Astyanax mexicanus: one gene and its partner. The protein of the gene in region 2 purifies or fractionates together with the protein of the main gene of each other region. This does not show direct contact. Links are inferred from orthologs where the notes say so. Each region holds a gene or a part of one and is shown on either strand. Other genes may lie near its edges.

The links.
Region 1: the proteins of camlg (region 2) and tumor necrosis factor receptor superfamily member 13B purify together in Homo sapiens (affinity purification with western blotting; 3 studies listed by BioGRID and IntAct, with this or other methods). This does not show direct contact. The link is inferred for Astyanax mexicanus from reciprocal best matches to the Homo sapiens genes CAMLG and TNFRSF13B.

Annotation. Positions count from the first base shown.
Region 1 is NC_064422.1:7,889,276-7,895,958, reverse strand, and holds the start of tumor necrosis factor receptor superfamily member 13B, read left to right. Parts: upstream 1-2,572; 5' UTR 2,573-2,589; coding exon 2,590-2,704; intron 2,705-4,423; coding exon 4,424-4,540; intron 4,541-5,944; coding exon 5,945-6,202; intron 6,203-6,683. UniProt on the Homo sapiens protein: Receptor for TNFSF13/APRIL and TNFSF13B/TALL1/BAFF/BLYS that binds both ligands with similar high affinity. Mediates calcineurin-dependent activation of NF-AT, as well as activation of NF-kappa-B and AP-1.
Region 2 is NC_064424.1:33,512,120-33,518,802, forward strand, and holds the start of camlg (calcium signal-modulating cyclophilin ligand), read right to left. Parts: upstream 3,454-6,683; 5' UTR 3,275-3,453; coding exon 3,136-3,274; intron 2,164-3,135; coding exon 1,712-2,163; intron 1,079-1,711; coding exon 1,013-1,078; intron 338-1,012; coding exon 146-337; 3' UTR 1-145. Other genes in the region: arylsulfatase B, read left to right, coding at 4,270-4,530. UniProt on the Homo sapiens protein: Required for the post-translational delivery of tail-anchored (TA) proteins to the endoplasmic reticulum.

The sequences.
Region 1 (6,683 bases), on a different chromosome or scaffold from region 2:
GTAGGGTATTGTTTTTGGGATGTATTGAAGTGGAATCAGTACCTGAGCTTACTCATGCATACTCTCTGGGTCAAATGCAATCAATTCCTGCTTACAGCAATGTTCTTAGTGTAAATATTTCCCAGTCAATTAGAGGCTGTTACTGCAGCAAAGTGGAAATATCACTTCATTTCAGGAGGAACAGATGAATGCTGGAGGATCTGGGCGTCCGGATACTTTTGGACAGGTAGTGAACAGCACTGAAAAGTGTTTAGTCAAACTGGAGCTTTGTTACATCTCACAAGTCATGAGAGTGTAAACTCACAAGGAGTGTCCCAGGAGACCCCAGACTGCGGCTTTAGGCAAATGAACAGGGTTCTGAAAACACACCCGAAGCTCTGCAGCACACTCACTCTGCTCACTCCGCTCACTCCTCTCACTTCTATGGCTACTTAAGGTAGGTGTTTACCTGTACGCTCTCCCAGGCCGACAGACGTGCACTCTCCTGTGCATTCACTATCCTCTACAGGTGGATACACAGGTGGTGTTACTCTCAAGGCCTTGTCTTTTTAAAATTCTTCTTTATTATTATTATTTTTATTACTAATAACATTGCTGTTACCAATTGTGCAGAATGACCTTCCAGGCAAATATCACTCAAACATCATTACAACGTGTTTCTGTATATTTTTTATGAACTGCTGTTAGACTATAACTACTGAATACTCAGTACTAAATACTAAATAGTTGACTACTGTCTAATAAATACTGAAAACTAAATACTGATTACTGACTACTGACAATTGTATACTGACTACAGACTAATGAATACTGACTACTGAATACTGGTTATTGACAACAGACTAATGAATACTTACTACTGAATACTAAATGCTTATTATTGCCCACTACTAAATACCGATTATTAAACACTGCAGAATGAATATTGAATACAAAATACTGGCTAATATATACTTACTACAGACTAATGAATACTGGCAATACTAAATACTGATTATTGACCACTTTCTAATGAATACTGACTACTGAATACTGGTTATTGACAACAGACTAATGAATACTTACTACTAAATACAAAATACTGGCTAATATATACTGACTACAGACTAATGAATACTTACTACTAAATAATAAATACTTATTATTGACCACTACTAAATACCGATTATTGACCACTGCCGAATGAATATTGAATACAAAATACTGGCTAATATATACTGACTACAGACTAATAAATACTGGCAATACTAAATACTGATTAGTGACTGCTTTCTAATGAATACTGACTACTGAATGCTAAATACTGATTACTGACTACTGCCTAATGAATACTGAATACTAATTACTGACTGTTGATGATTATATGCTGACTACAGGCTAATGAACACTGACTACTGAATACTAAATACTGATAATCGACCACTGCCTAATGAATACTTACAACTAAATACTAAATACTGATTATTGACTACAGGCTGATGAATATTTACTACTGAATGCTAAATACTGATTATTTACCACTGGCAAATGGATACTGAATACTAAGCACTATTTCTGACTCCTGGCTAATATATTACTGACTACAGACTAATGAATATTGACAATACCAAATACTGATTATTGACTACAGCCGGATGTATACTAACTACTGACTAGTGAATACTGATTATTGACAGCAAACTAATGAATAATGAATAATAAATACTGATTATTGACTACTGAGGATTATATACAGACTACAGACTAATGAATACTGACTACTGAATACTAAATACTGATTATTGACTACATACTGATTAATACTGACTACAGACCAATAAATACTGACAACAGCATACTATATACTGATTATACAGTACTGACTAATGAATATTTACTTAAATATAATAATATACAAAATAAAAACTGGTTATTGACTACTGAATACTGACTACAGAATACAGACTAATACATACTGATGGCTGAATACTAAATACTGATTATAAACTACTGACTAATTAATGAAAACTGTCTACTGATTAACGTAATCATAGTGCAATAAATACTTAAGGATAACTATTGAATATTGATTTTGAAAACTGACAACTGACTAATACATTTTGACTACTGAAAACTGATTATTGCCTACTGACTAATTCTTATGGTATACTAATTAATGTAATAATAGCTTAATGAATGCTGACTGATGACTCATGAATATTGACTTGTAAAAAGTGACAACTGACTTATAAAATACTGAGAATTGGCTAGTATTAACTACTGACCACTGATTTCAATACTAACACTCTAACACTGATTACTTGCCAATATTTTACTGGCTGCAGAATACTGCTTACTGGCTGAATAACAACTAGGGCATCATTCATCAGTATTTTGTTGTAGAGAATTGATTATCAGCAGTTTTAGTCAGTAATCAATTAATTGATCAATTAATCAATACTGAATAACTACTATTTACTGACTATGGACAACAGACTCCGATTCAGTTTTCAGTGTGTTCTGAAGTGGTTAAGCGTTGTGTAAGTGTGTCAGTAGTGTGTTTAGTAAAGATTAAAGGTATGTGTGCAGGTGTGAGTATGGTGAGGAGCGATGGCAGGAACCTGTGCTGGAGGACAGTACTTGGACCGCCTGCTAAAACAGTGCATGCCCTGTCAGCTGGTGTGTGATAACCCTGACCCCCCCACTCGCTGCCTAGACTTCTGTGGTGAGTAACACACTGCTAACAACTCAGAGGCAGAACCAATCAGAATCTTTATTTCAGCTGGGGGTGAGACAACAAGAGCCAAACTCAGAGACATAACCAATCAGAATCTCTATTTCAGTTGGGGGTGAGACAACAGAGAGTCAAACTTAAAGGCAGAACCAATCAAAATCTGTATTTCAGTTGGGGGTGAGACAATAGAGAGCCAAACTCAGAGGCAGAACCAATTTAGAATCTCTATTTCAGTTGGAGGTGGGACAACAAGAGCCAAACTCAGAGACATAACCAATCAGAATCTCTATTTCAGTTGGGGGTGAGACAATAGAGAGTCAAACTCAAAGGCAGAACCAATCAGAATCTTTATTTCAGTTTGGGGTGAGACAAAAGAGAGCCAAACTTAAAGGCAGAACCAATCAGAATCTTTATTTCAGTTTGGGGTGAGACAAAAGAGTGCCAAACTTAAAGGCAGAACCAATCAGAATCTCTATTTCAGTTGGGGGTGAGACAACAGAGAGTCAAACTTAAAGGCAGAACCAATCAAAATCTGTATTTCAGTTGGGGGTGAGACAATAGAGAGCCAAACTCAGAGGCAGAACCAATTTAGAATCTCTATTTCAGTTGGAGGTGGGACAACAAGAGCCAAACTCAGAGACATAACCAATCAGAATCTCTATTTCAGTTGGGGGTGAGACAATAGAGAGTCAAACTCAAAGGCAGAACCAATCAGAATCTTTATTTCAGTTTGGGGTGAGACAAAAGAGAGCCAAACTCAGAGGCAGAACCAATTTAGAATCTCTATTTCAGTTGGAGGTGGGACAACAAGAGCCAAACTCAGAGACATAACCAATCAGAATCTCTATTTCAGCTGGGGGTGGAAGAAAAGAGAGCCAAACTTAAAGGCAGACCCAATCAAAATCTCTATTTCAGTTGGGGATTAGACAATAAAGAGTCAAACTCAGAGGCAGAAACAATCAGAATCTCTATTTTAGTTGTGGGTGAGACAATAGAGAGTCAAACTCAGTGGCAGGACCAATCAGAATCTTTATGTTAGCTGAGGGTGGTACAAAAAAGATCTCAACTCAAAAGCAGAACCAATTAGAATCTCTATTTTCAGCTGGCAGTGGGACAACAGAGAGTCAAACCCAGAGGCAGAAGCAATTAGAATCTCTATTTTCAGCTGGCAGTGGGACAACAGAGAGTCAAACCCAGAGGCAGAACCAATCAGAATCTCTATTTTCGCTAAGGGCGGGACAACAAAGAGTCAAACCCAGAGGCAGAACCAATCAGAGTCTCTATTTCTGCTAGGGGTGAGACAATAAAGAGTCAAACACAGAGGCAGAACCAATCAGAATCTCTATTTTCGCTAAGGGCGGGACAACAAAGAGTCAAACCCAGAGGCAGAACCAATCAGAATCTCTATTTTCGCTAAGGGCGGGACAACAAAGAGTCAAACCCAGAGGCAGAACCAATCAGTATCTTTATTTCCACTAGGAGTGGGACAAAACAAAGAGTCAAACTAAGAGGCAGATCCAATCAGAATCTCTATTTCAGCTGGGGTTGGGACAACAGAGAGTCAAACTTAGAGGCAGAGGTAGAACAATGTTGTTCCCTTCTATTCAGTACTTGGATTAAACTGGTGATGTAGATCATTTGTAATTAAACTGATGAAGATCTGATTTTGTGATCAGTCTCATTACAGCTCTTCTGACTGTCTGTTTACAGTGGCCTTCAGCTGTAAGGCTGTATCTGGGCAGTTCTACGACCAGCTGCTGAAGAAATGCTTGAAATGTTCGGAGCTGTGTGGCCACCACCCCTCAGAGTGCTCACAAGAGTGTCCGAGTAAGTACACAGCGGCCGTGTCCCAAATTCACTCTATGGGCCCTCATCAAGTCAAGTCAAGTAGTTTTAAAGTCAGAAAAAATGAATATTGAATACAAAATACTGGCCTGTATTTACTGACCAATAAATACTGGCAATACTAAATACTGATTATTGACCACTTTTAAATGAATACTGACTACTGAATGCTAAATACTGATTACTGACTAATAAATACTGAATACTAATTACTGACTACTGACGATTATATGCTGACTACAGGCTAATGAACACTGACTGCTGAATATTAAATACTGATTATTGACCACTGCCTAATGAATACTTACCACTAAATACTAAATACTGATTATTGACTACTGCCTAATGAATACTGAATACTAATTACTCACTGTTGATGATTATATGCTAACTACAGACTAATGAACACTGAATACTGAATATTAAATACTGATTATTGACCACTGCCTAATGAATACTTACAACTAAATACTAAATACTGATTATTGACTACTGCCTAACGAATACTGAATACTAATTACTGACTATTGACGATTATTTGCTGACTACAGGCTAATGAACACTGACTACTGAATATTAAATACTGATTACTGACCACTGCCTAATAAATACTTACAACTAAATCCTAAATACTGATTATTGACTACTGACTAATAAATACAGACTACTGAATATTAAATAGTGATTATTGACTACAGACTGATGAATATTTGCTACTGAATGCTAAATACTGATTATTTACCACTGCCAAACTAAACTAAACTAAAAATGGACAAAAATGCAGATACTTGTTTTTTATTGGACAGTGACGATATGTACAGGACATACAGAGGATTGAAATCATGTTACTCTTCTTCCCAAAAGTTACAACAAGTACAGCAAGATAAAATATAAATATAAAAGAACACAATACACTAAATGTACAATACAACAAGGCCACAGATATATACATACTTAAGACAAGAGACACAAGATAATAGTGCAATAGTGAGGGGGATCATTGTAAATGGGACCAATATAAACATTAGTGCAAAAATATAGAGGTATAAAAGCTTAAGGCTTAAGGGTAAAGTGAATGAATGCATACAGTTCTTTAAATGTCACAGTTGTAAAAGGAAAAAAAAGTTTGCACCTGCATTGTTTAAATAGCAACAGTGCTTGTGAATATATCGAAGACACACTGACACGCCACAAATCAAGCTGTGTGTTGCACTAAAGTGACTGGAGATTGCAAAAATAGGTCCCTATATGTTTTACATAATTGAGGCAGTAGTGATTACTGCTAATAAGTCCATGAAACATTGTTAACAACTCAAAATTTTCACCTTTTAAAGCGTTCTTCATCACAGTTTCCAATATCTCACACTCAATTCTCTCTGTCTACAGCTCGTGCTCCCACACCTGGAATCACAAGGCCTGGCAGCATCACTGCACTGCAGCCACGTGACCCCAGGGGGAGCCACAGGCCCAGAGAAGTGCCCCACTCAGAGGTGCTGGTGTACGCTCTGCTGGGCCTGTGTCTGGCCATGCTGCTGGGGACTGTGCTGGTGGCCCTGCTGGTGCTGCTGAGGAGAGCCAGGGGGCAGAAGGAGGACCAGGGGGAGAAGGTCCAGCAGCCAGACGGACACAGCCAGACATCTAAAGGTACCCTGTCGGCTCTGAAAAAACGAGAATGTTGTCTGTTATGTTTTATGGTAGAACATCAGCCTCCGCTGCAGAATCATACAAATATATATATATATATATATATATATATATATATATATATATATATATATATATATATATATATATATATATATATAAATAATATCTCAAAAAAGTTACTTTATTTCAGTGTTTCATTTCAAAACACAGATACACAGAGTGATCTATTTTAAGCATTTATTTATTTTTTTGTTGATGATTATGGTTTACAGGCAATGACATTCTCAGAAAATGTGAATATTATATAAGACCAATTGGCACTTTTGGCAGTGTGGGCAGTGTGCCAAGTCCTGCTGGAAAATGAAATCTGCTACTCCATAAAAGTTGTAAGATTTGTAAGGGAAAACACTGCGCTGACTTTGGATGAACACAGTGGATCAACACCAGCAGATGACATGACTCTCCAAACCATCACTGA
Region 2 (6,683 bases):
AAATTATTTTCTCCCACTGGTCTGCTCTGAAGCTCAGAGGCCGCTGGGTTGGTTTAGGAGAAAGGTCTAAAACTGCTCACAAAGCGGCACAAGTAAAAGGGTCAGGCAGCATTCAGCCCTTCATACTGTAACGATGCTCCACCCATCACGATGACTCAGACCCGAACAAGAGGATGAGCTCGTGACACATGATAAAGGTGAAGAAATACACGCAGAGGTCGGCAAACACGTCGCCCATTTTCCGATAAGTGTCCATGGAATGGTTAATGACCTCAGCCGGAATGCCGGACAGCAGGAGGGCAGCAGTGAGGACAGTGGTCTTTGACTTTTTCTCCACCTGAGAGAGAAAGAAACAGAAAAATCACAAATATTAAATAACCACTTAAATTAGAACCAAAATATTTGATAAACACAAACCTCTGCCCACTTGTATACATTTTATGGCTACATATCTGTTTGTCAGCCGCTTTCCTCAATGTCTGCTTTGAATAACACTTGAATAAGCATGAATAAGCATGCTAGCCTGTATGGGTAAACATCCCTCATAAAGAGAGACGTTAACACAAAATGATTTTTTTTGTGGATGAGAGGCAGACGAACTGTTTTAAAAAATATCCAGATGTGTGGAGGAGGCCAAATTACATTGCTGTGAACAACGCAACAGAAACACATAAAATGTAACCGTAAATTTTTGACACTAATAAATAATTGGTGTTTGAATAGATTTTTTTTATTGAGTGATTTGAGTGCGTGAGTGTTATTGGGTACTGTGTGACTGTTTATAATGCACAGTCTACGTGTAGTGGGTGGAGATGAAGATTGGTATTCCCTGCTTTTGTTGGAAAGTGATTTTTAAGTCACTTTTACTGGACAGGGTTTACAAATGCATTTCTGGACAAGAAAGCCCAAGTTACATTGTGATTTTTTTGTACGTTGAGCCTGGAGTAATACAGAGATTAGATAGATCAGCTTTAAACTGCTTTAAATTGCTGAACGTGATGTAATGACGCACCTTTGGAAAGTACTTGTATAACCCCATGTAGGCCAGCTCCAGAGTGAGAAACGGTGCAAATATTGACTGCAAAAAAGAAAGTAAACCATCACATAAACACAAGCAATAACAATGGTAATATCAATTAATGTTTATACGCTATCATGATTTAAATGAAATAATAGCACAAAGAATAACAGAACAATTAATAATAGCACAATTATACTATACAATTATACAAAATAATGAGTAATCTAAACTCTATATACATACAACCAGTTCTAATCTAAAAACAAAGTGGATTTATAAACACCTAGGGAACGTGCATACCTAATGTTCTGTGAAGCTATTTTAGCTTCATCTGAGGCCTTAGTGTCCAGTCGAATCCATAGAGGATAGCTTTGACTGCGAAACTCGGCCCAGTGGGAGGACTTTGGCTCTCTTTGGATTAGACTGGCTACCCCATTAGGGAAAGTTGCCTCTAAACCAAAGCAAGATTTTCTTTTCTTTTTTTTTTTTTTTTTTTTTTTTTAAAACATCAATATTGAAACTGTGTTTGTGTTTAATCCAGCAGGTAGCTCCAAGGTTATTGAGTACTTTGAAAAAGTGAATCGATTCTGTAAGTTCTGTTTAAAAAAAACACCACACGCCCCTCCTCTAGTTTTAAAACAATTCCACATTTTGACAACAAACTGCATTTCTTTCAGAACATCAACTCACCAAGTACTGGCAGACGAAGATGCGTACAAAGACAGCTAAAAGGACACTCCCGGTGAGCCGGAAGAGACGGAAGGGGTCAAGCTCCTCCGGGTCAGAGCTGCTGTCCTGTGCCGCCTTCTCGTTCGCTAGCTGACCCCGCAGCTTCATTGCGTCGTCAAAGCGGGACAGGTACTTCTGCAGGCCCCTTCGAGGAGAGCGCGAGTGCTCATCACTGGACAGCTCTCCCCGTGGCCGCTGTCGCACCCCACGGGACAGGTCATCCTCCCCCAGGTCCTCTCTGCTGTCCGGCAGGGGAGAGCCCCGCCTTTCAGGGGTGCTGCTGGGGGTTGTGTTTTTGCTGCCACCCGTCTCAGAGATGTATGGAGAGAGGCGCTTAGAAGACACCGGTGGCGTCCAGGCATCATTTGGGTCCAGGTCTAGGTGGAAGCGAGGCTCCATCGTGTGTCGGGCTTCTATGTGAAAGACGGAGAAAGGGAAACAGTTGAAAGTGTTATTAGAAAAAAAAAAAAAGTGTTAGAAAGTATTATTAGTATTAAAGTATTATTAGTATAAAAAGTATTAGAAAGTGTTATTAGTGTTATTAGAAGTATTATTATTTTTTATTATAATAAAAAATAATAAAAATACTAAAATAACTTAATTTTATTCTAAATAATTATTGTTACTTTCAAGTGTGAACAGCTTTCATGTCCATAAAGAACCACAGCCTAGAAAACTCCTTTGTGTTCACAGACGTTGTTTTGTTGTTTATAACAAACACAAGAAGGCAAAAACAATATGTGCACCTTAAAAAAAACACAATTCACTCCTTAGTAAGGATATTCCTATACTGTTGGAATGGACAGTGTGTAGTAGGGGTGTGCTATATTTTGTCATACACAATCATTTTTTTATGTTTTGCCATTTACTGTTCTATTAATAGTTTGCAGTTTATATGTAGGCACTAACTAAGCTGGACTTAAGTTCTGTGGTAGATGTTTGTGTTTATATTACATTATTTCTGTTACCTTTTTTAATTTTGTAACACTACAGTCTTGGTAAACTACTGTCTAGAAAATAGACATTTATAGATTTTGTTTCAGCTGAATAAATTTGTACTAAATAAAACATTTATATGTATTTTGTTGCAGAAGTATACTCTTGAAATGTATTTAAAAGAATTACTGCAAAAACACCCTGAAATATCGTGATATTATTTCACGGCCATATCGCCCAGCCCTAAGCGCTGAATGGGATTAAGCTGAATTTGACTCCTCATTATGAGATAGAGTAACTGGGGCGCCTGAATGGAGCAGGGTTAGTTACCTTCTGCACCATGTAAGGCAGACCGGTAAATCCCAGTAACTACCTGAGGAATAAGCAGGCCTCCCCGGTTCATTAACTGGTTTAGGGTGTAAATGTGCTCTCTGTATGAATGTGCTGACCGCTGCTATCCGCGTCGCCCTTCCCGAAGCCCACTATTCTGTTCATCCTCTGCTCGGAGTTCTGCAGCAGCCTCCTCCGCCTGCTCTCCGCCCGGCGCTGAGCTGCGCTGCGGCCGCTCGCCTCGTCCCCGGCCTCCATCCCCTCTCTGCCCGCTCCAATCGCTCCTACGGCTCCCGGTGGTCCGATTCTCTCCGGGGGCTTTAATAATCCTGTGTTTAACTGCCTTATCCTCGCTCCGCTTCCTTGCTCCGGGATCCTCTGCGCGCACACAAACACCACACTACTGCAGGCCCTCAGCGCAATGGCGGCACAGCTACAATAAAAGTCCTCTTAGTGAAAAAATGAACTCAAAATAAAAAAGGCGAAAAGGTGATTAAATCACCGAATTAAAAAAACACGAACTAAGTAGAGAGATTCAAGTAAAATAAAAAAATATAAAGTAAATTTCGTTAATTATATGGAATATTTAATGCACAGATGCACTGTAAAGAAATACACATCAAGATAAAAGTTGTTTAACAAAAGAAAAAGAAGATAATCTAGAAAAGAGCAAAACCAGTAGAGTTTGATGGTAGATTTTCTATAATATAATTAATATAATAAAATTATTTTATATACAATGTAGTAAACAAATTTAACAGTTGCAGTTGCAGTAATTTTATAAAAAAAATTATAAAAACGCTGTGAAACGTGCTATTATTATTATGTTTAATATTTAATATGTATTATTATTATTATTATGTTTAATATTTAATATGTATTATTATTATTATTAGTATATTTATTATTATGTTTAATATTTAATACTTATTATTATTATTATTATTATTATTATTATTATTATTATTATTATTATTATTATTATTATTATTTGTATTTGTATTTGTATTTGTATTTGTATTTATACAGTGTAAAGCAAGCAGAGTCGAGTGATCAGCCTGTAAGTAAGCGTAGGATTGTGGGTAATGTAGTGAAGGGGCAGACTTGTTGTACTTTTATAGACACTTCCCCAACCGTCCGCTTGTGAGTGTGTGTGTGAGAGAGAGAGAGTGCGAGTGAGAGAGATGAGCAGACTGTGCGCGGGACAGTATGAGGAAGTAGTGAGTGTGTGTTGGTGCTGAGTGTAGAGGGGTATGATGGTGCAGGTTTGGGTAAAGACCCTGATAGTGTGTGTGAGTGTGTGTGTGAGTGTGTGTAGGGGAGCTGGTTCTCCTCCGCACGTGGTCTTCGTACTTGCGGATGATCTGGGCTGGAATGATGTGGGTTTTCGCGGCTCTGAGATCCGGACCCCGGAACTGGACCGGCTGGCTGCAGCGGGGGTCCGGCTGGACGGGTATTATGTCCAGCCGCTCTGCACCCCGTCCAGGAACCAACTAATGACCGGCAGGTACCAGGTAAGACTGCAGTACACACACTGAACCCACAGCTGCTGTCAGTGCTGCGACTGCTGCTGTAACAGCTACTACAGCTACTGTCAGTGCTGCTACTGCTGCTGTAACAGCTGCTACAGCTGCTGTCAGTGCTTCTAGTGCTGCTGTAACATCTGCTACAGCTGCTGTCAGTGCTGCTACTGCTGCTGTAACAGCTACTACAGCTACTGTCAGTGCTGCTACTGCTGCTGTAACAGCTGCTGTCAGTGCTGCTACTGCTGCTGTAACAGCTACTACAGCTACTGTCAGTGCTGCTACTGTTGCTGTAACAGCTGCTACAGCTGCTGTCAGTGCTGCTAGTGCTGCTGTAACAGCTACTACAGCTAATGTCAGTGCTGCTACTGCTGCTGTAACAGCTGCTACAGCTGCTGCCAGTGCTTCTACTGCTGCTGTAACAGCTGCTACAGCTGCTGTCAGTGCTGCTACTGCTGCTGTAACAGCTGCTGTCAGTGCTGCTACTGCTGCTGTAACAGCTACTACAGCTACTGTCAGTGCTGCTACTGTTGCTGTAACAGCTGCTACAGCTGCTGTCAGTGCTGCTAGTGCTGCTGTAACAGCTACTACAGCTAATGTCAGTGCTGCTACTGCTGCTGTAACAGCTACTACAGCTACTGTCAGTGCTGCTACTGCTGCTGTAACAGCTGCTACAGCTGCTGTCAGTGCTGCTACTGCTGCTGTAACAGCTACTACAGCTACTGTCAGTGCTGCTACTGCTGCTGTAACAGCTGCTGTCAGTGCTGCTACTGCTGCTGTAACAGCTACTACAGCTACTGTCAGTGCTGCTACTGTTGCTGTAACAGCTGCTACAGCTGCTGTCAGTGCTGCTAGTGCTGCTGTAACAGCTACTACAGCTAATGTCAGTGCTGCTACTGCTGCTGTAACAGCTGCTACAGCTGCTGTCAGTGCTTCTACTGCTGCTGTAACAGCTGCTACAGCTGCTGTCAGTGCTGCTACTGCTGCTGTAACAGCTACTACAGCTACTGTCAGTGCTGCTACTGGTGCTGTAACAGCTGCTTTAGCTACTGTCAGTGCTGCTACTGCTGCTGCATTACTGTAACAGCTACTGTAGGTAGTTACTGTTAATGCTGCTACTGCTGCTGTAACAGCTACTACAGCAACTGCTGCTGTAACAGTAATAATGTAACAGGTACTACAACCACTGTCAGTGCTGCTACTGCTGCTGTATTGCTCTAATAACTACAACAGCTAGTTACTACTGTCACTACTACAAGTATTACTTTAACTGCTACTGCTGTCACTACTCTTACAAGTAATTCTATAACATCTACTGCTGTCACTACTCTTACATGTATTACTATAACACCTACGGAAGTAATGTCTATATACATCCCAACAAACATGTTCATAGTCAAAAGCTTAAATTAGCCTTGTGTTAGCCTAATTCAGATTCTTTCACAAATATATTGGAAATCCACCTCAAACAGCTGAATTATAGATAAATATACACTCGCTTGGATAAAGCAAAAAACAACTGCCCTGACACAACTTCCTGGTGTGAAACTACATCTCTCTCACTCTGCAGACCAAACTTTACTGTCTCTACTGTAAAGTCATGTTGAATACAACCGTCTACTATATGCAATATAACTGTTTACTGTGTACTGCTCTGCAAGAGTAAGGGTTTGGGCTGCACAATATATTGCTTCGGCATTGATATCGCAATGTACACATGTGCAACAGTCTCACTGCAAGATGTGCAAGGATTTGTCAAGGATTTTTTTTTTCACACTGTTCTCATCTTGCACGACAGTAGGTGCCAGATTAACTACTGTATTTATCTTATGGCATTTATTTTACTCCAATCATTGACACACAGATTCTCTTATATTATGAATATTATGAAAAACCTGTATTTTCTTTTTTATATATATATATCAGTAAGAACCACAAAATATCGCAATGTTATTTTTTTCCAATATTTTGAAACCCTAGTAAGGATTATGTGCATTATCCCCTGTTTACTTATCTTATCTTATCTTTCTGCTTATGCTACCATTACTGCTGCCATTATTACTGCTACTACTACCATTAGTACAGTAGTACAATTGCTATTACTGCTTCTAATACTACTGTTACTACTGTTTCTGTATAATTGC